Struthio camelus: one gene and its partner. The protein of the gene in region 1 interacts with the protein of each later gene in a pairwise test. Links are inferred from orthologs where the notes say so. Each region holds a gene or a part of one and is shown on either strand. Other genes may lie near its edges.

What was found. The genes of interacting proteins can lie anywhere in the genome.
Region 2: the proteins of AP1B1 (region 1) and KIF13A interact in binary tests that used the Homo sapiens proteins (3 or more experiments, as listed by UniProt). The link is inferred for Struthio camelus from reciprocal best matches to the Homo sapiens genes AP1B1 and KIF13A.

The regions. Positions count from the first base shown.
Region 1 is NC_090958.1:5,166,609-5,177,173, reverse strand, and holds the start of AP1B1 (AP-1 complex subunit beta-1), read right to left. Parts: upstream 4,768-10,565; 5' UTR 4,745-4,767; intron 2,787-4,744; exon of another isoform or gene 2,706-2,786; intron 937-2,705; exon of another isoform or gene 808-936; intron 784-807; exon of another isoform or gene 694-783; intron 1-693. Other genes in the region: NEFH (neurofilament heavy polypeptide), read left to right, coding at 7,831-8,599, 10,104-10,303. UniProt on the Homo sapiens protein: Subunit of clathrin-associated adaptor protein complex 1 that plays a role in protein sorting in the late-Golgi/trans-Golgi network (TGN) and/or endosomes.
Region 2 is NC_090943.1:97,755,706-97,765,968, forward strand, and holds the start of KIF13A (kinesin-like protein KIF13A), read left to right. Parts: upstream 1-6,058; 5' UTR 6,059-6,334; coding exon 6,335-6,389; intron 6,390-6,757; coding exon 6,758-6,848; intron 6,849-10,263. UniProt on the Homo sapiens protein: Plus end-directed microtubule-dependent motor protein involved in intracellular transport and regulating various processes such as mannose-6-phosphate receptor (M6PR) transport to the plasma membrane, endosomal sorting during melanosome biogenesis and cytokinesis.

The DNA.
Region 1 (10,565 bases):
TCGCAGTCTCAGTCGTGGCCCGCGCCCGCATGAACGGGGCGCATGGTGGCGAAGCCACAGCAGCACTTTGGGCTGTTTGTCCCGTTTCTCTCCTGACAACGCAGCCCAGTGTCAGCCGAGAGCCCTCAGCAAGCCCCAAAATACAAGCTGAGCCCCGCCGAGACACTGAGGACCTTGTTTCAGAGGTGTCAAGATACACAGACAAGGTCTTCATTTTTCAACTTCAGACGGACTGAGGGTTTTCTTGAACGGTACACAGAGAGGATTTTCTTCCCGTGGGAAAGCAAGGCACAGCAGGGTTTTGAGCCTGAACAGCTCCCGCAGCAGTAATTGCCGAGCGATCGGCTCTGGAAGGAAACGTGCCTCCCCGCAGCACGGCTCACAGGGCTCGCGCCTACAGCTGGAGGCACCTCGCGCACCAAATTGCAGCCACTAAGAGTCTATTAACGATCCCAGCGCCGTTACTTCACCTCCCGCACTCCAGCATTACAAGGCAGGACAACAAAATCCCAGGAGGCGTCTGCGTCCCGTGTGCTGCCTACAGCCTTGACGCCACCTGGCAAGGTGAAGCGGCCACCTCAAACTCAGCAAGAGGGGAAAAAAAATATGAGGTGGATATCTGGGGGCTGAAATAGAAACAGGATTATTTTTTTCCACCATTCTCTAAAGAAGTTTTGTTAAAATGCAACTCACCGCCTCAAACTCCCTGCCCCAAAGAAAGGGCTGAAAACTGCTCTTAGCTACGAGACTAGACCGTTCCTCATGGGATGTTATTAAAGATTCCTGAAAAGAAAGTTCATCACTCACGGAGTTTGACACCAATTTCTCGGAATTCGCATGACATTTCACCGCGCTTTGGCAGATGCCATTACACGGGCAGCGGCCAGGCCGGGGCGGATTCTGCGTGAAGCTGAGGAAGCAGCTCCCTGAGCAAGGCTGGGAAAAACAGGAGTTTATAGGACCAAGCGCATCAGATACTACTTTCAGATCCCAAAGCTGTCTCTGCCCCAGCCCCCAGGACCCTTCCCAATTCCAGCAGCTTCCCGGTAGAGTTTCGCAGAACGGCAAGTATTCGTTCCTCCACCCAAAAGCAGTGCTCGTGAAGGAAGCGGGGATGAGTTTCCTCCTATTTCACCAGTTTTCTTGCAAATAAGCTGCGTGCCTCTCAGCAGAAGCGCCGGGGCAGCGCTAGGTACGGGTCACGTCAGCCGTGCTGGGATCTGCTGCCGCCACCGGGCTCCCCAAAACATCCCCAGACAGCAGGGCAGCGATTCGAGGAACGAACGCGAGTTTTCTACACCCCCAGCCCCAAAAGTTGCCCGTCCGCAGCCTGCTGCGACCTCCCCACGGAGGGGACCGGGAGAGCGCGGCCGATGGCCTCTCCCCCGGCAGCACCTGCAAAAACTGAGCCCAGAATAACAATTATTTCACCCTGAGACCAGCCACCCGAGACCCCCCGCAAGAAGTGGGGGACAAGACCCAGGGGGCTGGGGGGGGGGGAGTTTGAAGGGGGCCTGGCCCCGGGGAGAAGGGGGGGGAGTTTGAAGGGGGCCCAGCCCCAGGGGGGAGTATGAAGGGGGCCTGGCCCCGGGGATGGGGAGGGGGGGGAGTTTGAAGGGGGCCCGGCCCCGGGGAGGGGGGGGAGGGTTGAAGGGGGCCCGGCCCCGGGGGGGGGGGAGTTTGAAGGGAGCCTGGCCCGGGGGGGGGGGGGGGGGGAGTTTGAAGGGGGCCCGGCCCCGGGGGGGGGGGAGTATGAAGGGGGCCCGGCCCCGGGGGCGGGGGGGAGGTTGAAGGGGGCCCGGCCCCGGGGGCGGGGGGGAGGTTGAAGGGGGCCCGGCCCCGGGGGCGGGGGGGAGGGTTGAAGGGGGCCGGACCCCGCGGGGCGGGGGCGGGCTTGAAGGGGGCCCGGCCCCGGGGGGGGGGGAGTATGAAGGGGGCCCGGCCCCGGGGGCGGGGGGGAGGTTGAAGGGGGCCCGGCCCCGGGGGCGGGGGGGAGGTTGAAGGGGGCCCGGCCCCGGGGGCGGGGGGGAGGGTTGAAGGGGGCCGGACCCCGCGGGGCGGGGGCGGGCTTGAAGGGGGCCGGACTCCTGGGGGGGGGGCTTGAAGGGGGCCGGACCCCGGGGGAGGGAGGTTGAAGGGGGGCCGGACCCCGGGGGGGGGGGCTTGAAGGGGGGCCGGACCCCGGGGGGGGGGGCTTGAAGGGGGGCCGGACCCCGGGGGGGGGGAGGTTGAAGGGGGCCGGACCCCGGGGGGGGGGGAGGTTGAAGGGGGCCGGACCCCGGGGGGGGGGGAGGTTGAAGGGGGGCCGGACCCCGGGGGGGGGGAGGTTGAAGGGGGCCGGACCCCGGGGGGGGGGAGGTTGAAGGGGGCCGGACCCCGGGGGGGGGGAGGTTGAAGGGGGCCGGACCCCGGGGGGGGGAGGTTGAAGGGGGGCCGGACCCCGGGGGGGGGGGCTTGAAGGGGGCCGGACCCCGGGGGGGGAGGTTGAAGGGGGCCGGACCCCGGGGGGGGGGCTGAAGGGGGGATCGAGGGCGGCCGGCCCGCGGCAGGAGGCCCAGCGGGGGAAGCGAGCGGAGCAGGGCCGGGGGCAGCGGCTGCCACCGCTCCCGCTCCCGCTCCCGGGCAGCGGCCCCCGCGGGCAGCCGGTCCGCGCGACGGCGGCGACCCTGACCCAGCGCCCCCGGCCCGGCCCGGCCCGGCCGTACCTCCCGCCGCGCTCCCGCCGCCGCCCGCTGCCACCGGCCCAGCGGAAGTGAGGGCGGAGCGGGCCAGCGCTTCCGGGGCGCGGGGCGGGGCCGGGAGTGGGGGCGGGGCCGGGGAGCCGGGGGCGGGGCCGGGGAGCCGGGGGCGGGGCCGGGGAGCTGGGGGCGGGGCCTCGGACGGGCCGCGGGGTGGAGGGGGCGCGCGAGGCTGGCGCGCGCTGAGCCCGCACGGGGCCGGGGGGGGGGGACACGGGGACACACGGACACGGATACGGACACGGCGGCTCCGGGCGTCCCTCCCCGAGCTCCCTCCCCGCCGGGCCCGGGGGACCATCGGCCCCAAGCGCCGCCTGCCGGGGGTGACACGGGGACGGCCTGCGGGGACCCTGGTGGGCGCCCGGCGTGGGGATCCCACGGGTGATCCCCCCCCCGGGACACCGCGGTCACCCACCTCCCGTCGGCCAGGCCCTGAGCTGGTGGCACTCGGCGCCGCCCGGCCGTCCGTGCCGCAGGGGTCCTCATGCCACCCCACGTCACTGTCACCTGTGCCGGTGACGAGGAGGCCACCGAGTTTTTCCCAGAAAACCCCCGAAACGGGGCTCGAGGACGTCGAAAGCAGCTCGGGAGCCTCCGGATCCCCCCAGCTGGGGGGAACTTCACGCCCGGGGCCTCCCCGCACGGGGCCCGTGGCTGCCGGGCCTCCTTGCTGGCTCCCCAGGCGGTCCCTGCGTGGCGTGACGCGACCTGGCGTGACGTGACATGACGTGACATGACGCGGCGGGCCAAGCCGGAGCAGCAGCACCATTTCGGCCGCGCAAATGCCGGGGCTGCGCGAGCCAGGAGCGCCGCAGCCGCTCTCACCCCGCTGCCCGGCGGCCCTGGCCCAGGCGCCCCGCGGTCGAACCAGCTCCGCGCAGGCCAAACCGTCGGCCGAGAAGCGGAAAAACCACCGTGAAACGGAGGAACGTTTCGCAGCCCGGCAGAGACCCAGCAAACTCGCTTCACCCAAGCCGCAGCCAGCCCGGCCCGCTGCAGCAGCGACACAGCAAAGCAGCCACGAACGCTCACAGCTGCCTCCCGAAATAGTTTATTTGGAAAAACAAATAATCAAGTGGGCGATGCTGCTCTGCGCCCTTGCGAGAGGGCTGCAGGTGCCCGCTCCTGGGTGAAGCGAGTTCGCTGGGTCTCTGCCGGGCTACTAAGCATCAAGCTGTGCAAGAGCCAGGTTTTGGAAGGAGACAAATTGCAGGAAGCGTCTCTGCCAGCAGCCAGCGGCGCTCTGCTGCCGCAAGGCCGCCTTTCCAGGGGAAAACGCAATGCAGGGAACAGCTTGGAAGCCCCCGAGAGGCTGCCGGGCGGGAGCAGGGCCAGCAGGGAGCGGGGATGTGCTGCCGCCACAGAAATTCCCGCTTCCCGCAGCGCTGACGGCCCCGGCCGCCCGGGTGACTTTGAAAGGACGCCGGGGAGCTCCTCGGCGGCAGTAATCGAGACGTGTTCGCTGCTGTCACTGCAGCTCCGTGGCAGTTTCATGTCCCAGGAACGTGACACCTTCGGTCACTTTTGGGGGGGTTGCCGAGCACCTGGGGGGGAAGGTGGGGAGAGCACGGGGCTGGAGCCCCCGGTTCGGGCTGGGACCGGGGGCCGCAAGGGAACCCACGGCGACGTTCAAGCAGAGCTTTGGGGAAGGGTTTCGCTGCAGCGGCGCCCGGGAGAGCCGCACGCGGTGCCGCCGCGGCCTGCTGAGTCAGCGGGCAGCCGCCGGCCTCTGCGGCGGCTCGTAGCCCTGCCGAGCCGCACCGGGGGGCTTCGGCGAGAGCAGCCCGCGCTCAGCGCCGCTGGCAGCTGCGGAGTGACTCATCGGGCACAGAGCTTTTCTGCCCTATGAAGTAATAAATTCATCCGATATTTGAAGGCAGAAGCAGCTGTAGCTATTTGGCCGGTTAGAAGCGCTTTGGTTTCCCTAGGCAGGAGGTGACCGATGCGCGGCGTCCGGGACCCGCCGCCCCAAGCCGCCCCGGGGACACGTCCTCGCTGCATCTCACCCAAGGCTTTGAGGGGGAGAGCGGCCCCGTCAGCCGGTTCTTGCCCACGCGCGGCGCCGGCCAGCCCGCCGCTGCGGCATCTCTGCCCCCCCAGCGCCGCCCGGCGCTGATTTCAGTCCCCGCTTCCGCCGCAGCCTCACGTTTCAGGGCAATGCGCTGCTGCAGGGCTGCTGGAAAAAAAAAAAAAGTGCTGAGCAGCAAAACGTCCGCGCGGGGCTGCTGGGGTGGGAGGCAGCGGCGCTGGGGAGACCCGCGGGAAGGAGCCCCTGGCCGGGCCGTTGCCGCTGCGCCGCCGGGGCCGGGCAGGGCGGCTGCGGGCGGGGAGGAGGCGGTGGGAACGATCCCCCCCCCCTCCACGTAGGGGAATTCACAAGGATCACAAATACAGATTTCCTCCTCTGTGCAGAGCCGCCCCCTCCCCAGCAGGGCTCGGACCCTGCCGAAATCCCCCCCCCGCCGGGAAGGGGCTCTGCACACCCGCTGCCCGCTGCTCCCCGCCTGCCGCCCCCACAGCCGGCACCGGCGGTTCCCGTCGCAAACGGGCAGCGGGGAGCCGAGGGGAAAGAGACCCCCCTTCGGCAGGCGCCGCGGAGGGCTCCCACGTGGGCCGTGGGTGCCTGTTGGGCGTGGGTTGTATGTGCCTGTTGGGTGTGGGGTGTAGGTGCCTGTTGGGTGTGGGGTGTAGGTGCCTGTTGGGCATGAGTTGTAGGTGCCTGTTGGGTATGGACTGTAGGTGCCTGTTGGGTGTGGGGTGTAGGTGCCTGTTGGGCATGAGTTGTAGGTGCCTGTTGGGTATGGACTGTAGGTGCCTGTTGGGTGTGGGGTGTAGGTGCCTGTTGGGTGTGGGTTGTAGGTATGCATCGGGTGTGGTCTGTACATACCTGTTGGGTGTGGACTGTAGGTGCCTGTTGGGTGTGGGCTGTGCATGCCTGTTGGTTGTAGGCAGTAGGTGTGTGTTGGGTGTGGGTTGTATGTACCTGCAGAGTGTGGGTTGTAGGGTGTGTTGGGTGTGGGTTGTGGGGTGTGTTGGGAGTGGGCTGTAGGGGTGTGTTGCGTGTGGGTTATAGGGGTGTGTTGGGGTGGGCTGTAGGGGTGTGTTGGGTGTGGGTTGTGGGGTGTGTTGGGAGTGGGCTGTAGGGGTGTGTTGGGTGTGGGTTATAGGGGTGTGTTGGGGTGGGCTGTAGGGGTGTGTTGGGTGTGGGTTGTGGGGTGTGTTGGGAGTGGGCTGTAGGGGTGTGCTGGGTGTGGGTTGTGGGGTGTGTTGGGAGTGGGCTGTAGGGGTGTGTTGGGTGTGGGTTATAGGGGTGTGTTGGGGTGGGCTGTAGGGGTGTGTTGGGTGTGGGTTGTGGGGTGTGTTGGGAGTGGGCTGTAGGGGTGTGTTGGGTGTGGGGTGTGGGGTGTGTTGGGAGTGGGCTGTAGGGGTGTGTTGGGTGTGGGTTGTGGGGTGTGTTGGGGTGGGCTGTAGGGGTGTGTTGGGTGTGGGTTGTGGGGTGTGTTGGGGTGGGCTGTAGGGGTGTGCTGGGTGTGGGATGTACGTACCTGCTCAGCGTGGGCTGTACCTGAGTGCTGATTGGCTGAGTTTACCTGTGCGTTGGGTGGGGCCGTGCGCTCCCTGCTCCCCGGCAAGGGTGGGGGGGGCACCGCGGCCCCATGTCTCCCCGGTGGCCCTTGTCATCTCCCCATGTGCCCTTGACACCTATTGGCCACCAGCTCGAGCACCCTGGGAAGCTGATGGGGCTCAGGACCCATCCTGCAGCAGGGGGGCAGGGGGGAGGCTGGGTCTCCCCCACCCGCTCTGCCAGCATCCTCTGCCCCTCTCCCTGCCCTGGGGTTTCACCGCCAGGACACTCTGCCCTCGCTGGGCTCCTTCGCGGGGTGGCGAGGTTGCAAGGATCAGCTCTGCGCTCGCCATGCGCTGCCTTTGGCAGGGGCAGAGCCAACCCAACTGCCCCCACAATGTCGGGGGCCGGTGACAGGCCTTGCCCGAAGCCCCCGCGTGGGGAACAGCATCAGCCCAAAGCTGGGGTGCCCCACGGCGCTGGTTCTTGGGGGTGAAGTGTGCAGGATGGACGGATGAGCAGACGGACAGGCAGACAACACCCAAAGACAGGGACTGACAGAGGGGCCTGGGGGGTGATGCCACCCTGCTTCCCCCCACACGCTGCCAGTCTCACCTGGCAGCCCCTCCATGCCATGGAGCAGGGCCAGCTACATGTGGCGTGCAGGTGCAGTGAGTTTGCAAGTCGTCAGCCTGGTGCGTGGCCCTGCCGCTGGGCTGCCAGCCGGCTGCCAGGCTGGTCCCGGGGAGCACCCTGAGCTGGGACATGGCCCCGTTCGCCTGCTCCCTCCTGCCTGCTCCCCAGCTCTGGTCACTGCAGCCTGAGAGCAGCCAGCAGCTCTGGGGGCTAGGCAGGAATGCCCCCAGTCCTGCTGTGGGGCAGAGGGTCCGGGGACCGCAGAGAGCATCCCTTGCAGAGGTGGGAAGGTCCCAGCCTCTTGTCCTTGAGAGGGACATCTCTGCTCTCCACCCCCCCCCCCCCGCCGGGAGTCCCACTTTGTCCCCCCCGGAGTACCTCCATTCTCCCTTCCTCCAAGGGCAGTTCCCCGTGGTCCTTTCCCTGGGAGGAGAGACCCACACCTTCTCCCTCTGCCTCTCTTGGGCATCTCCGCTGTCCCCCGGGGCTCCCTGCTGTGTCCGCGGGGGTCCCTTCCGCCACGGAGGCGTCCCTGCTGCCTTCCCGGGGGCCCCGATCTCTGCCACCAGGGATCCTACTCGCTTCCCAGGGTCACCCCGCTCTCCCCAGGGGTCCCAATCCCCTGCCCTGGGGTTCCCACTCTGCTCCGGGTGATCCCCATCCCCTCGCGGGGGTCCCGCTCTCCCCCGCGGCGTCCCACTTTCCTCCGCAGGGTCTCGCTCTCCCACGCGGGGGTCCCGCTCCCTCGGCGGGGCCGGGCCGTGGGGACTCCCCGGGCCCGCGGGGCGGGGGCGGGAGCGGGGGCGGTGCGGGGGCGGTGGCGGTGGCGGGGCGGCGCCGGGCCCTATAAAGGGGCGGCGGCGGCGGCGGTGCCGCAGTGAGGTGGCCGCGATGAGCCTGCTGCTGGAGACGCTGCTGGGCCCCCCGGCGCCGCCGGGCCGCGCCGCCCCGCGCTCCGCCGCCTCCAGCGGCTTCCACTCGTGGCCGGCACCGGCGCCGGGCCGGGCGCGGGGCGGCGGCGGCAGCGCGGCCGCCTCCTCCACCGAGAGCCTCGACTCGCTGAACGGCGAGCCGCGGGCGCGCAACGAGAAGGAGCTGCTGCAAGTGCTCAACGACCGCTTCGCCGGCTACATCGAGCGGGTGCGGGCGCTGGAGCAGCGCAACCGGGCGCTGGCGGCCGAGGCGGCGGCGCTGCGGCAGCAGCAGGCGGGCCGCGCCGCCATGGGCGAGCTGTACACGCGGGAGCTGCGCGACCTGCGCGCCGCCGTGCTGCGCCTGGGCGCCGAGCAGGGCCAGCTGCGCCTGGAGCGGGCGCGCCTGGCGCAGGAGGCGGCGGCGCTGCGGGCGCGCCTCGAAGAGGAGGCGCGGCAGCGCGGCGCGCTGGAGGCGGCGGCCCGCGGGCTGGCGCAGCGCTCCGCGCAGGAGGAGCGGGCCCGGGGGCCGCTGGCCGAGCGCGCCCGCGCCCTGCGCGAGGAGGCGGCGCTGCTGCGGCGGCAGCACGAGGCCGAGCTGGGCGAGCTGCTGCGCGGGGCCCGCCTCGAGCCGCCGCCCCCCGCCGCCGCCGCCGGCCCCGGCCTCAGCGCGGCGCTCCGCGACCTGCGCGCTCAGCTGGAGGGCACGGCGGCGCGCAGCACGCTGCAGGCCGAGGACTGGTTCCGAGGTGAGCTCTCCTCCTATCCCCCCGCTCCCTTCCCCGGGCGCGGACCCCGCTCCGCGGGTGCGCAGCCCCGCCGCGGGCACCCCTGCCCCGCCCCTCTGCGCGCAGGGACCCCGGGGTCGGCGCTTCGGGAGGGCGTCACGGTAACCCCACCGCGGACGTGTGCGCGGACCTCCCCCCGCCTCCCGCGTAGCGCTCTCCATCAGGGCGTTACGGTAATCCCACCCGTCGCCCCCAGCACCCTGGCTATTTGCAGGGCGGACACCCCTCTCCCCTCCTCGCCCCGCACTGCTTTTTGGGGAGGGCAGCATGGCCACTGCGCCCCGCGGGTCTTTGGGGTGCCGCGATAACGCTGCGCACCGGTCTCTTTTCCCTGGAATTTGGCCAGGTCGGGAGTATTTGCGGTGCGCTGCAGGGAGGGGATGATAGCGCAGTGTTGGGGGGGGGGTGCCGCATCCTTCCGGGGGGGCGGGGAGCGTCCTTGCTGCGCTACTGGGCGGGGCACTACGGCACTGAGCCGAGCGGTTCAGCACCCTTGAGAGGGCGGGAGGCGGTCAGCACCCTGGAGAGAGGCCGGAGGGGGCTCAGCACCTCAGGGAGCCCCTGCTTCAGCACCCTGGAGAGAGGCCGGGGGCTTCAGCACCCTGGAGAGCGCCCGCATCAGCACCCATGGGCGCGCCGGGCGTGGTCAACACCTCGAGTTCCTGGCTCAGCACCCTTGGGAGTGCGGGGAAGGGTCATCACCCATCGGAGTCCTCTGGGGGGGGGGAACCTAGCACCCATGGGGGTGCTGCACGGGTGCAGCAGCTTGGAGAGCAGAGGGCTCAGTACTTGTGGGTGCTGGGTGGCCTCAGCACCCTGCTCTGGGACCAGCATCCCCGCAGGGCTGAGGCTGCTGGTGCCCAGCAGCCATCCTGCAGGGTGCTAGGAGCAGCAGGCACCGGCCTCTGTCCCTTGGGGTGCCTCAGGGCACTGTGGAAAGCCCCTGAGTGACACACACCCTGCAGTTGGCTGCGGCAAGAGACACAGGTTTGGTGGGCAGCAGAGCCCTCTGTGCCCTCCAGCCACCCGCTCAAGGACGGTGTGGCTGCTCAGGGCCCGAATGTGGCCGGAGGGATGCCTGGGGCTGCCATTCCTACCACTCCCAGAGCTGGAGTGAGAAGGCAGGTCTGTAGGTCATTGAGTTTGTGGCAGGAGCTCAAGAGGAGGCCCTGAGACAGTAGGTTTGCATGGGAAAAAAAATCCAGGATGGAAAAAAAAAACCCAAAGCTGCCTAGTCTGTCCTACCCAGGCACTGTCATCACCCCAGCACAGACGGAGTGAGGGCTGGCTGAGCCAACCTCCCAGGAAGCCCCTGCCAGGGCTTAGTGCTGCAGAGGGTGTGCACACAGAAGATTTGCAGGCTCAGGGGTTTTTGGGGGGTCAGGAGCCACCTCAGTTGCCCCAGAAGGGGAGAATGAAGCCTCCCTCCCTTGCTTGCTGCAGCTTTCCCTTTGCCCTGTTGCAGTGAGGCTGGACAAGCTCTCCGAAGTTGCCAAGGTGAACACGGATGCCATCCGCTCGGCCCAGGAGGAGATCAGCGAGTACCGTCGCCAGCTCCAGTCCAAGACCACTGAGCTTGATGCCCTCAAAGGGACCCAGGAATCATTGGAGAAGCAGAGGCAGGACTCAGAGGAGCGCCATCATGCAGACGTCCTGTCCTACCAGGTAATGCAGTGCCGGGGATGAGGTGCCAGACCTGTAGCTTCATAGGGAGGGATCATCTAGCTGCTAGGGAGGGTGGTACTGGTATTGGCCCCAGAGATAATGGCCAGCTGCAAATACTTGGCAGTTGTGTCTACTGCAGTCCTTTCCCAGCTCCTGGTGACAGGGTACCCAGAGCTTGAGGTTGCATCCAGAGTGATGTCCCCATTGCCATGGTGGGGTTGTCCCCATGCATCTGGCTCTGAGCTGCCTCAATGCTGCTCAC
Region 2 (10,263 bases), on another chromosome or scaffold:
TTAATGTCAATTCACATTATCTCTGTTATGCCTTGGGAACATCAGGCGCAGATGGAGGATCCCAGCAGAATTTAGTAGGGAGTGTGATATTTTCTTTCCCCTCCTTGTTGAACTGTGGATTGATGGACAAATCCATGGAAATGCTGAAAGGGAAGAAATAAAAATGAAACAGATGGAAAGCAAGAGCTGGACAAAGGCTCGATCCTGCCCTCACTGAAGCTGCAAAATTTCCTTTGACTGCAGTGATGCGGAACCGGAACAAAATATGGGGGTGAAGGAAAGCAGGGACTGGAAAAGAAAATCAGGGAAGCGTGGCTTCAATTGATTTTGCCCCTGTGTTCACACCCTTGTTCCCCTCACCTGCCCTCCGCATTCACTTTCCTTGGCTCTCATCTTTACTCCTTGCTGAAGCACTAAGCTGTCATTTCTCATCTGGTATCTTCCATCCATCAGCATGTCTGGGATAGCTGGCAGCTAATTCTGATGGGTGAATGACACATGAAGATCCCTTGCCAGTCGCAATGGGGCGTGAATTGATCAGGCTAACAAATGTTGACAGGTGAGAGACATTCACCCAAAGTTGCTACTGGTAGTGAAGACAGAGATATAAAGGGTTCCATATGGTAGCTGTGTTGATGTAATGCCAGAAGATAAGCATCCTAGTGGCCTGAATTGCACTCACTTCCTTCTGCCATTTTCTTTCTCATTCTCCAGCATATTCCAAGCATCCTCTTTCCTTGTCAGTGCAAAAACATAGTTACATGTAGGAACAAGCACTATCACTGAAGTCTTATTCCAAATATGTAAAAACTATTACTTATCAGAAAAAAAAAATACAAAGACATAACATAAGGATAAAAAGCAATTCAATATTTGTACTTTGAAACTTACAAAGATTGAAAAAGCCTCACTGAGGTTTTACCTCTTCTTTCTCGTCTTTTCCATCTTGCTTTTTGCCTCCCCTTCTTATTCAATTTCTGCTCAGTTTGGAGACTTGCAGTACACTATTTTGCCCTAGAATAGCTGATATTGTCCTTTGGCGTTCTTGTATTTTAAGTGAATTAGAGAATGTTTCAAATAAGGACAAAGTGTCCGAAACTTTTTTCCAAATAAAATGTTGTTATAGATACCTGGCATACTCTTGCTTTTCTGACATAGATATGTGTAGGTGTCTGAAATCTCACATATGTATATACTTCTCTATGGACTCTGACTCGCAGAGCCAATTTTAAGCATTTTTCTTAAACAGTTAATAAGCGAATGCTAGAATAGTTGGATTTTAGCATGTCGCATCTATGTTCCGTGATGATGCTCTGTGGAGACACAGAGCTCTGAGAGCTCCACCTACCTTCTAGCTCTTCCTGCCCTATCTTTTCATTTACAGGTGCTATGTCTGGAAGACCATTCCTTCTGCTGTGAATCTAAAGAGACTGTCTTCCTGATTCAGATCTTGTAGTTATGTGGTAAGTTTTACACTGCTGTTGTAAAGTCATGATACTCCATGTTGTTCAGACACAGACAGCTATTAAAAAGAAAAGAATAAAAGGAAAGGCTTTAAAAAAACGAGATTGGGAGAGAAAAGCCTGGATGATTCTAAATTTTACAATACCTTAAATAAAGACAATAATTGCTCAGAAAACACTAAGTAAGCCTGGAAATGTTTTCTTAGTTTTCATTTGCCACTATTTTCCTCCATTACTTAAGGAAACAGGAATTTACTTGCGATCAGTATATTACTTTATAAAATTTTGATAACCTTGTTTTTCACAAAGGGGTACACAAGACACATCTCAATAAAGATTTTGATGCCTGATTAAATTAGTTGATTTTTCAGGGTATTGCAGACGGAGAGGTCTGATCTTCAGCATCCCCCCAATCTGGGCAAAGAGAGAAATTAGGGCTACAAGTGCAGCCAGCAACCTGTGCTTGCCTTCTTCTCCACATACTCAGCACTTAGGAACTCTCTTATCTCTCAGCACGTCGTGCAGTTTTACCACCTACACTGTAGATAACTATCTTCGCTATGATGGTGTCTATGTGCAAACAGGGATTTATCTTGAGGCACCTTAGTGTAAAAACAAGCCTTTGAAAACATTTGAGAGTCTTGTGCTGGTAAGCTTGATGCTTAACAATAGTCATAATAAAAGTGATATTACCTTCACTTTTTATTTAAATGTTAAATAAAGATTCCAAACGTGATGTGACAAAGTGATCTGTACCTCAGAGGTAGGCACATCACAGAGCATCTTGCAGAATTGGGCTTTGGTGTATGTGACTAATCAACTCTAAATGCCTTTGGAATCCTCTTAAAACTAAAGAAACACTAGCAGATTAAGTCCTTTCACGGAAACCACAGATTCCATTAGTCACACCATCAGATAATAGAATTTGTTAGTTCTGTACCAAAACGTAAATGAAAGTCAAACCAGTTGCACACATGCAAGTGAAGACTTGATTATTTGGCTTCTGTTTCATTTCTGGATGGTGGCAACAACTTTCTGACCCTGTGGAGCTTCTGCCCAGTGAGGTTTTGAAACAGGTCTTGGCTATTCTTTGCTTGTAAGATGGTAGCGGTAAATTCTTTTCCACTGATCTTTTGACCAAAGTTAATATCCCCCTACTCACACAGTCAAGAATTTGCTTTCCTGGCACATACACTCTGGCTCTTACATCAAGTCCATTTCTTCTTTCTCCCTCTTAAGGGATCTTAAAAACTGCTTCCCAATACTGCAAGTTATATATATATACACCAGTTCTGATATTCAAGTCCATGAGAAACTAATAATTTTTTCAGGCCTGATGATTCTGTCAAGCGTATTAAGACGATACTGGTGTACTGAAGTCCAGATTGCTCTTCGGGCTAGGTACAATGAGAGATCTAATGGGACCCCTCTAACATAAGTTCCTTGCTGTTCTGCTGTAGTGCCAAAAGTTCAGAGGAAACCAAAAATACAGTCTGCTACATGCATGCTGCCTAACAGATGTTGTCAGGTATTGATACAGGTGTTGCCAAAAACCCTTCCTTGGGGGACAGAAAAGCATGTCATTCTTGGTAGTTGTTTTTCAGGACATGCTGATGCGAATGAAAGAACAAAAATCCTTTTCCCATTTAGCTTGCATCAGAAGAAATCAGGTTTTCACAAGAAGAGAACAGCTACAGTCTATATTAGGACAAATTAGGTTGCATCTCCCTTTTCAGACTCCTTTCCATGGCTGGCTTTCTGCATCTGCAAATGGCTGAATGTCTTTCAGAGGCTTATTCCAGACATCGGCAAGAAATTGTTTTCAAGACCTTTCCCACAGCCAAAATCATAGACCATCTCATTAAGACACCCTTTAGTTTCCCTTCCTCAAATTTCATTGTTTTTATATAATCTTGCATTGATACATTTTTTCCACTAAGAGGTGGAAAATAGAGATCTTCCCAAAATATCTTGGCCACCATTCCCAATAATACTCAAGTTTTGCAGAACTCATTTTTGCACGGTCACTGCAGATATCATGCCTTATCTCGAGCCCATGCTTACTTTGATCTGGGTTCTTACAGTCTACAGTCATACAGTCATAGGTGGGATGTCTCATTTCAACGTCTCTCCTTTTCTTTCATGGCTGAACCGTATACTTCTGCATTTCACAGCAAACTTCATTCCTTATGCCTACTTCCAGAGGCAAGAAATCAACATGTACCAGCTCCAGAGGCTTATTGCTAGTGACATTCTCCAGATACCCAACTTTACTTGGTAAAGTTTCTCTTTCACCACACTAAGTGCATATCTCACATTTCCCTTTAGCATTCCTGCAACCACTGGCCATTCAGGGGCAACTGGACCTACTCCAGATATGTTCCACGCTCCTCTCTGCTCTCAGTTCTTCTCATTCGCTACCCAAAACTCTTCAGGCTGGCCAGGAGGGAGGGGAAACTGGGGGAGAAATGACACGACTCTGTACCTTCTCAGTACTGTCAGTTGTTTTTACCTCTTTTTGAAATGTCTGTTGTTTCTCAGTGCAGCCACCCCTTAATCATTTTTTGATTTAGCCCATTTTCCTTAGAATAGTTTAGCCTCAGAGTAGACAGAATAATCACAGTTGGGTTTTAACCTGTCTTTTCAGTAAGCAAAATGCTACAGATATCACTAGTTTGTGTCTGGATTTCCTGCCAGTTAGTTGCATTAGATGGTAAGAACTGATTCTATGGAATATATTTCCCTGAAGCCAAGGAAACACCTTTGGGGAAAAAACAAAGTTTTAACAAGACACTTCAAAAAGGCAGCTATCCTGGGATCATAAACCTACTGCAGTTTTAGTAAAAATCTTCTTGGCTTATCCATTGAATGCTCAGCTGTCCTTGGAGCTCCTGGTTGCTAAGATAATTAGTGTTTATAATGTTTTTCCCTGATGCTGAACTCACTGCTAGTGAACGGACTCAACTCTTTCCTGTGGTATTTGGGCAGGCACTTCTTAACAATTGCCAGTTGTTGTCTGGAAGAGAAGCACCATATGAGCATTCTCAATATTTCACAGACAGCCCTTTTCTAAGGACAAAAAAATTCCAGCCTGAGAATGGGGCAGTTTTATCTGACCGTAGCCTCTGCATCCAAGCCTTCCAAACACATGCAAAATACACAGTTCACCTAGATAATCAGTGTGTGATGCTCAATTTAGTGTTTATCTGTTGTTTATCAGCTGATACCTGCAGCAAGTCCATTTCCATTCAGCCTAAAACTTTGAAAAATCCTTCTTCTGGTTTCTAAACACCGTCATCTCACTCAGAAAAAATGATTATGCATGTACTTCCCATAATTTTTACTTTGAGATGCTGGAGCCTGGCAGGTGCTTGCACAAGTCCAAACAGAGAGGAAGGGGGAAGGTGGAGTACATGCTGTCTTTTTCTCCCCGCCTGACCCCAGACGGGGCAGGCATCTGCTCCCAGCTTCCTGCATCCTCAGAGGTCTCCACTTGTCAAGAGCTGGTAGGAGCAAGCTCCCTTCCTTTCCAAACATCAAACCAGAAGGTTTTCATGTGTATCTGGTCAACTTTAAAATGATAAGTGAATCATATAAATTTATAGCCAACTTATCTGGAACTGTCAATGCCCTTACCCCTATCCCAGCCTTTTTGGACAACATGTCTTCTCTGCATGCCTCCGTACAACGACCTGCTCCTTCACTGGCATCCTCCACCTTTCCATCCTATCCTGCCTAACGACCTGCCCCGTGGACAGTACCCAAGCCCCTTCCCAATACTTTACCTGGCTTTAAATGCTTTTTTTTTTTTTTGTTCTTGTTTCTCACACCGTTTTTCACGTTTTGGACCCATCTCATCTTTTGCAGGGCAAGCACGCAAACTTTATTTCCAGAGAGAAACTTCACCGCCTTACAATCGTGCTGCGAATTCGCCCCTGCACCTGGGCCCTAGGCTTCAGGAAAGGCCGAGGGAAGCAGGAGGGACATCGCGGCGGCAGCGCGGTGCGGCGGGGCGAGGCAGGCCCGGGGCGGGGGGCGCCCAACGGAAACCGCCCCGGCGGGGGAGGCCGTTGAGGCAGACCCACGGAGCGGGGGGGGGGGGGGGGAGCAAGCCTTACGTGAGGCGGCAGAAAACATCCCCCCCCCGTGCCCGCAGCCCCTCAAACGGGCCGCGCCGCCTTGCGCCGCGCTACGCTCAACCCCCTGTCCCCGCCCGTCAGCCCGCTGCCCCCTCCCCGTTACGTGACGGTTGGGGGGGGGGGCGACGTCCGGGCATAAGCGCATCCCACCCCCCCCCCCCGCCTTCACAGCCCCCTTTACGCATGCGCGGGCCGGCGCAGCAGCGCCACCTCGCTGCCCCCTTCGCCACCGCAAGGAGACCCTCGCGCGTGCTCACTCGGGCGAAGCGGCTGTCGCGGGGAGGGGCGGGGGGGCTGTTCTTCCCCCCCCCCCCAAACACACCCCATCCCCTTCCTTCTTGCCGAAGGCGCTTGGGCGTTTCCGCGGCCGTTGCCCGCCCCCTGCCCGCGCCCCGCCGTCCCGGCGGCGGAAGATGGCGCTGGGGATTGGCGGGGCGGCGGCGGCGGGAGCAGCGGCGGCGGCGGCGGCGGGAGCGGTTATGCAAACGAGGCTGCCGGCAGCCGGCGCGGACCGCGGCTGAGAAGGGAGGCGACTGGGGCTGCGCCGCCGCCGCCGGACCCTCCTCCTGTGCCTCCCTCGCCGCCCCTGCGCTTTCCCGGCCCCCCGCCCTCGCCGCGGCCCGGCATGGCCGTTGGTGCTCCGCCGTGTCGCTGTGCGCGGCGCTGCGAGGCTGCCAGCCGCCGCTGCCGCTGAGCGGGGCCGCCCGCCGCTCCCGGGAGGGGGGGGGAAAGATGTCGGACACCAAGGTGAAAGTTGCCGTCAGGGTCCGGCCCATGAACAGGAGAGGTAACAGGCGAGCGCCGCGGCCCCGGCCCCCTCCCGATGCCGCGGTGGGGGGGTGGCGGCGGCGGCCGGGAACGAGCCCGGGAGAATAACGTTTGTGCCCCGGCGCCCCCCCTGCCTCCGGCAGCCGGGGTGGGGTGGGGTGGAGGGGGGGGAGGCCGAGGCAGGCGGAGCATCCCCCTTCGCAGCCAGCTCCGTCCCGGGGCCGTGGGGACGATGCCGCCGGCCCTCCGGCGCGCACGTAGGGAGGCGGCGGCGGCCCCCGAGCCGGGGGAGCCCCGGGCGGCGCGGCGCGGCGCGGCGCGGCGGGCGGTGAGGAGGGCAGGGGTGCTCTCGCCGCCGGTGCAGCCCCCTGTCGTGTCGCCTCGCAGAGCTGGACCTGAATACCAAGTGTATCGTGGAGATGGAAGGGAACCAGACTGTGCTTCACCCTCCGCCTTCCAACACCAAGCAGGCAGAAAGGTAAAAAAAAAAAAAAAAGAAAAAAAAACAAACACAAAAATATCAAAGTTAATCGTGTTTCTCATTTAAAAAAAAAAAAAAAAGCCCTGGTCCGAATTCCCGAATTCCTGCCCCACCCTCTCCAGCGTTGGATTAGACGGCAGATGGCTCGTGTGGTTTCGTTAAAGGAGCAGCAATGTTGTAAAGTTTTTACTCGGTGCCTTTCAAAGGCTGCGATGGGGGGAATGGGCTGCGGGAAGCATGTCCTGGCCTCGGGCTGCAAGGGCGAGCGAAAGTGACCACCAGGAGGAATTGCTTCAGTGGGCTTGCGTTATTGGGAAATGAGAATTAGACCTTTCGTTCTTTCTTTGCTTCCTGAGTGGAACTGGAGGTAAACAAATGGACCTGTGGAGGCATAAGATCGCTATTGACCTCTTAAGTTTAAAAGCTGGTTCTTGATTAACTTATCAAAAAATAAGCTATTGATTAGGTAATCAATAGGTTTGGCCTACAGTGTTTTCAGAAATTTTCCTTAAGTGCAGACTGCTAATGAGCTGATGTAACCTGGGTTTTGATTTATGGAAATAAGAAGCAGAATTTGGATTTTCTGCTAGTGATGGTATTTTTTTTTTTTAAAGTTTGTTTACTAGGTTTTAACATATTTGCATTTTAAAAGGCTGTAATTGCTAGATCCTGTATTAACTCAGCGTTATTCTCTGAAGTAGCCTATGAGAATATGCTAAAATAATTTTGAAATCTGGCATTCAGTTATGATGCCCCAGTAAAGAACACTGTTGGAAATATTCCAAAATACCAATGCACTAGACTGAAAAAATAGATCAGAACAGGAAAAGATTTCTTTCCTTTGAGGGAGCGTGGGGAAAGACAGGGAGGTGTGAGAGGAAAAGTTACATTGTATGCTTATCTCTTCAGTTACCTGTTGACCATTCAACTTGCTTGATCTGCTGAATATATTTACTTTCAAGGAGGGTGAAATTATTTGCATGGTTGTAGCCGTCTTCATCTGAACGTGTTCCAACTGTTTAAGGGTTTTTAAGGGTATTTTTGATTGAGTTGGTAAGAGTTATGAAGAAACTGCAGCGTGAGGATTTGGGTTTTCTCAGAGGCAATATGTCATGTTTTCATTGTTTTCCAACAGAAAAGGTCCAAGATTTTACATGAAGACCTTCTCACGTTAATCCAAATGCTGGATTGTATCTATAATCAAATCACTTTAACTTAAATCCAGCTTGCGTTGTCTTCTGAATGGCTACTGTACTGGCCTGAGACTTGAAAGATCTGTACTTGCTTCCTGCTTCTTGCACAGATCTTTGTGTGGTCTTCTACAAGTCTTACTGCCTCTGTGTGGCTTAGCATCCCATCGGTATAATGGAAAATGCTGTTTTTCTTGAATATTCCTCCGTTTATTGAAGTGTGTATATGGTGTCCATCCCAACACTACTATAATATGAGTAACTTTAACTTTCTTTAAAGTGAGTGGATTTGGCAGGTGTAAAACATAAAATGCATAGAGAGTTTACAAAGGAAGAACAGAATCAAGATTTAAAAATTAATATTATAATTATTATTATTTTGAGAAAAAGGCTAATAGATTATTAAAATAAAGAGCCTGTAATGTGTGAATTTTGCCTATTGTGCAAATTGGTCTGCAGATGTTTAGGGAGGCTATACACTGATTCTCTGCCTTTTATCTGGCTTTAATACCTATAACGTGTATACGTTCTCTTAGTTTGAATTGGCTTCTGGCTCTGTGCCAAGAGTCTCATGAGCGAGTTCTGACACTTATGTGCAACCCCACAGCCGAGAGCTGTGTTGGCAGGTGATAGCTGCCCTGCTTGCAGTGCACTGTGAGGTTGGAATTTGGCTGCCTGTTAAACGTTTAACTTGTATGTTGAAGGAAACAACTGTCTGACATGAATGGATTGGAAATACTCAGTCAAAAATACTGATCAGAAGTAACTCCTACTGATGCAGAAATACAATTTGGATACCTGCCATATGTGGTGGTTGTGTACAGTCTACTGAGATGCCTCATGGACTTTCTAGTGCTTTGTAAAGAATCTTAAATTTTATTTACCGTTAAACTGTTGATTTCTACATTTTTACCTAAGATAGTTTAATTTCTCATGATGAAGGATGAATTCTGCTGTTCTTCTATGTGTACCCAAATAAAATGTCTATATAAACAGACTCAGAATTGCTGAGTAGTTGCTGTTTGTACTTGGATTAATGCCTCAGCAGGGTTAGAGATGTCAAATGGTTTGTTGGTTTTCTTTGTGTAGCTTGGTTTTACATAGCTCAACTGGATTTTTCTTTCAGAGCAACCATGTCATCGCAAAAATGATTTCACTTGTTAAGGTGATTAGTTGGTCTTTTGCTACCATATTGCATTGTTTAATATTTTGTTTAGAATTACCTTTCCCTTTTTAACCTTTTATCTTTTTATATGGAACTTTCCTTTATATGGACTTTCCTTTTTTTAGCTGAATGAAAGTACAAGTTTGTACTGCACTTTGGAATAAGAATAAGTTGCTTTCTAAAGCAAGTTTTGTTTTCATGACTGCTTTCTTAATTGAGCTGAAGCCAAGAAGCTGTAGTTCAGGAAGGAGAAAGGAGGGGGGGGGGGAAAGATTTCAGGACCATGCTCTCTATTTGCTTTGTACTCACAGTTATAATTTTAAATGTAATAACAGATTTTTCTAAAGTAAAATTAGATAGCGCACTCATAATCATAACGTTATAAGAACTGTTTTTGGAAGAATACCCAAGATTAGGAAAATGAGTTTTACTAGCTTTGTCTATTTTACAAGTATGGATTTGTTTTTTAGTTGAATCTAAGTTCAGATACATGCTGTTGATCAATCTCTAATTGTATATGTTCTAACTTTAAGCTTCTAAATGATTTTTACATGAGCAAGTAGTGACAGTTTTACAAGTGGTGGAAAAAAAGTAAAATCCAGACAGTGCTATCATTTGTCCAAATTAATCTGCTGTACTGGTGATAAAGCAGCACATTATAACGCGAAGTTAGAGCAGGGTTTCTAACTCCCTCTTCTAACAACTAGATCACGCTGCATTCTTACCTTAACAAAGAAAGCTACAAAATAGTAGTTAATACAATTTGTTACAATTTGATACATTTGTTTTTGTAAGCAGTAGCCCTGTCATTTCCCGTAGGCCAACGATTTTTAGGGTTCGAAACTAACCAAGAAGGAACAGAACTTAGAAAAACCTAACAACCTGAATCTGAAAGGCACTGGAAAATCTTCATCAATTGAAGTAATATTGGACAGTTTAGAAAGGAACAGTCTTCATTAGCTAGTATCAGGTATATCTATGCTGGTGCTGGCAAAGTTTCTGTAAGTTGATTGTTGGGCTTAATAACGTTAACACTTGTTTTACTATTATCGGTAGC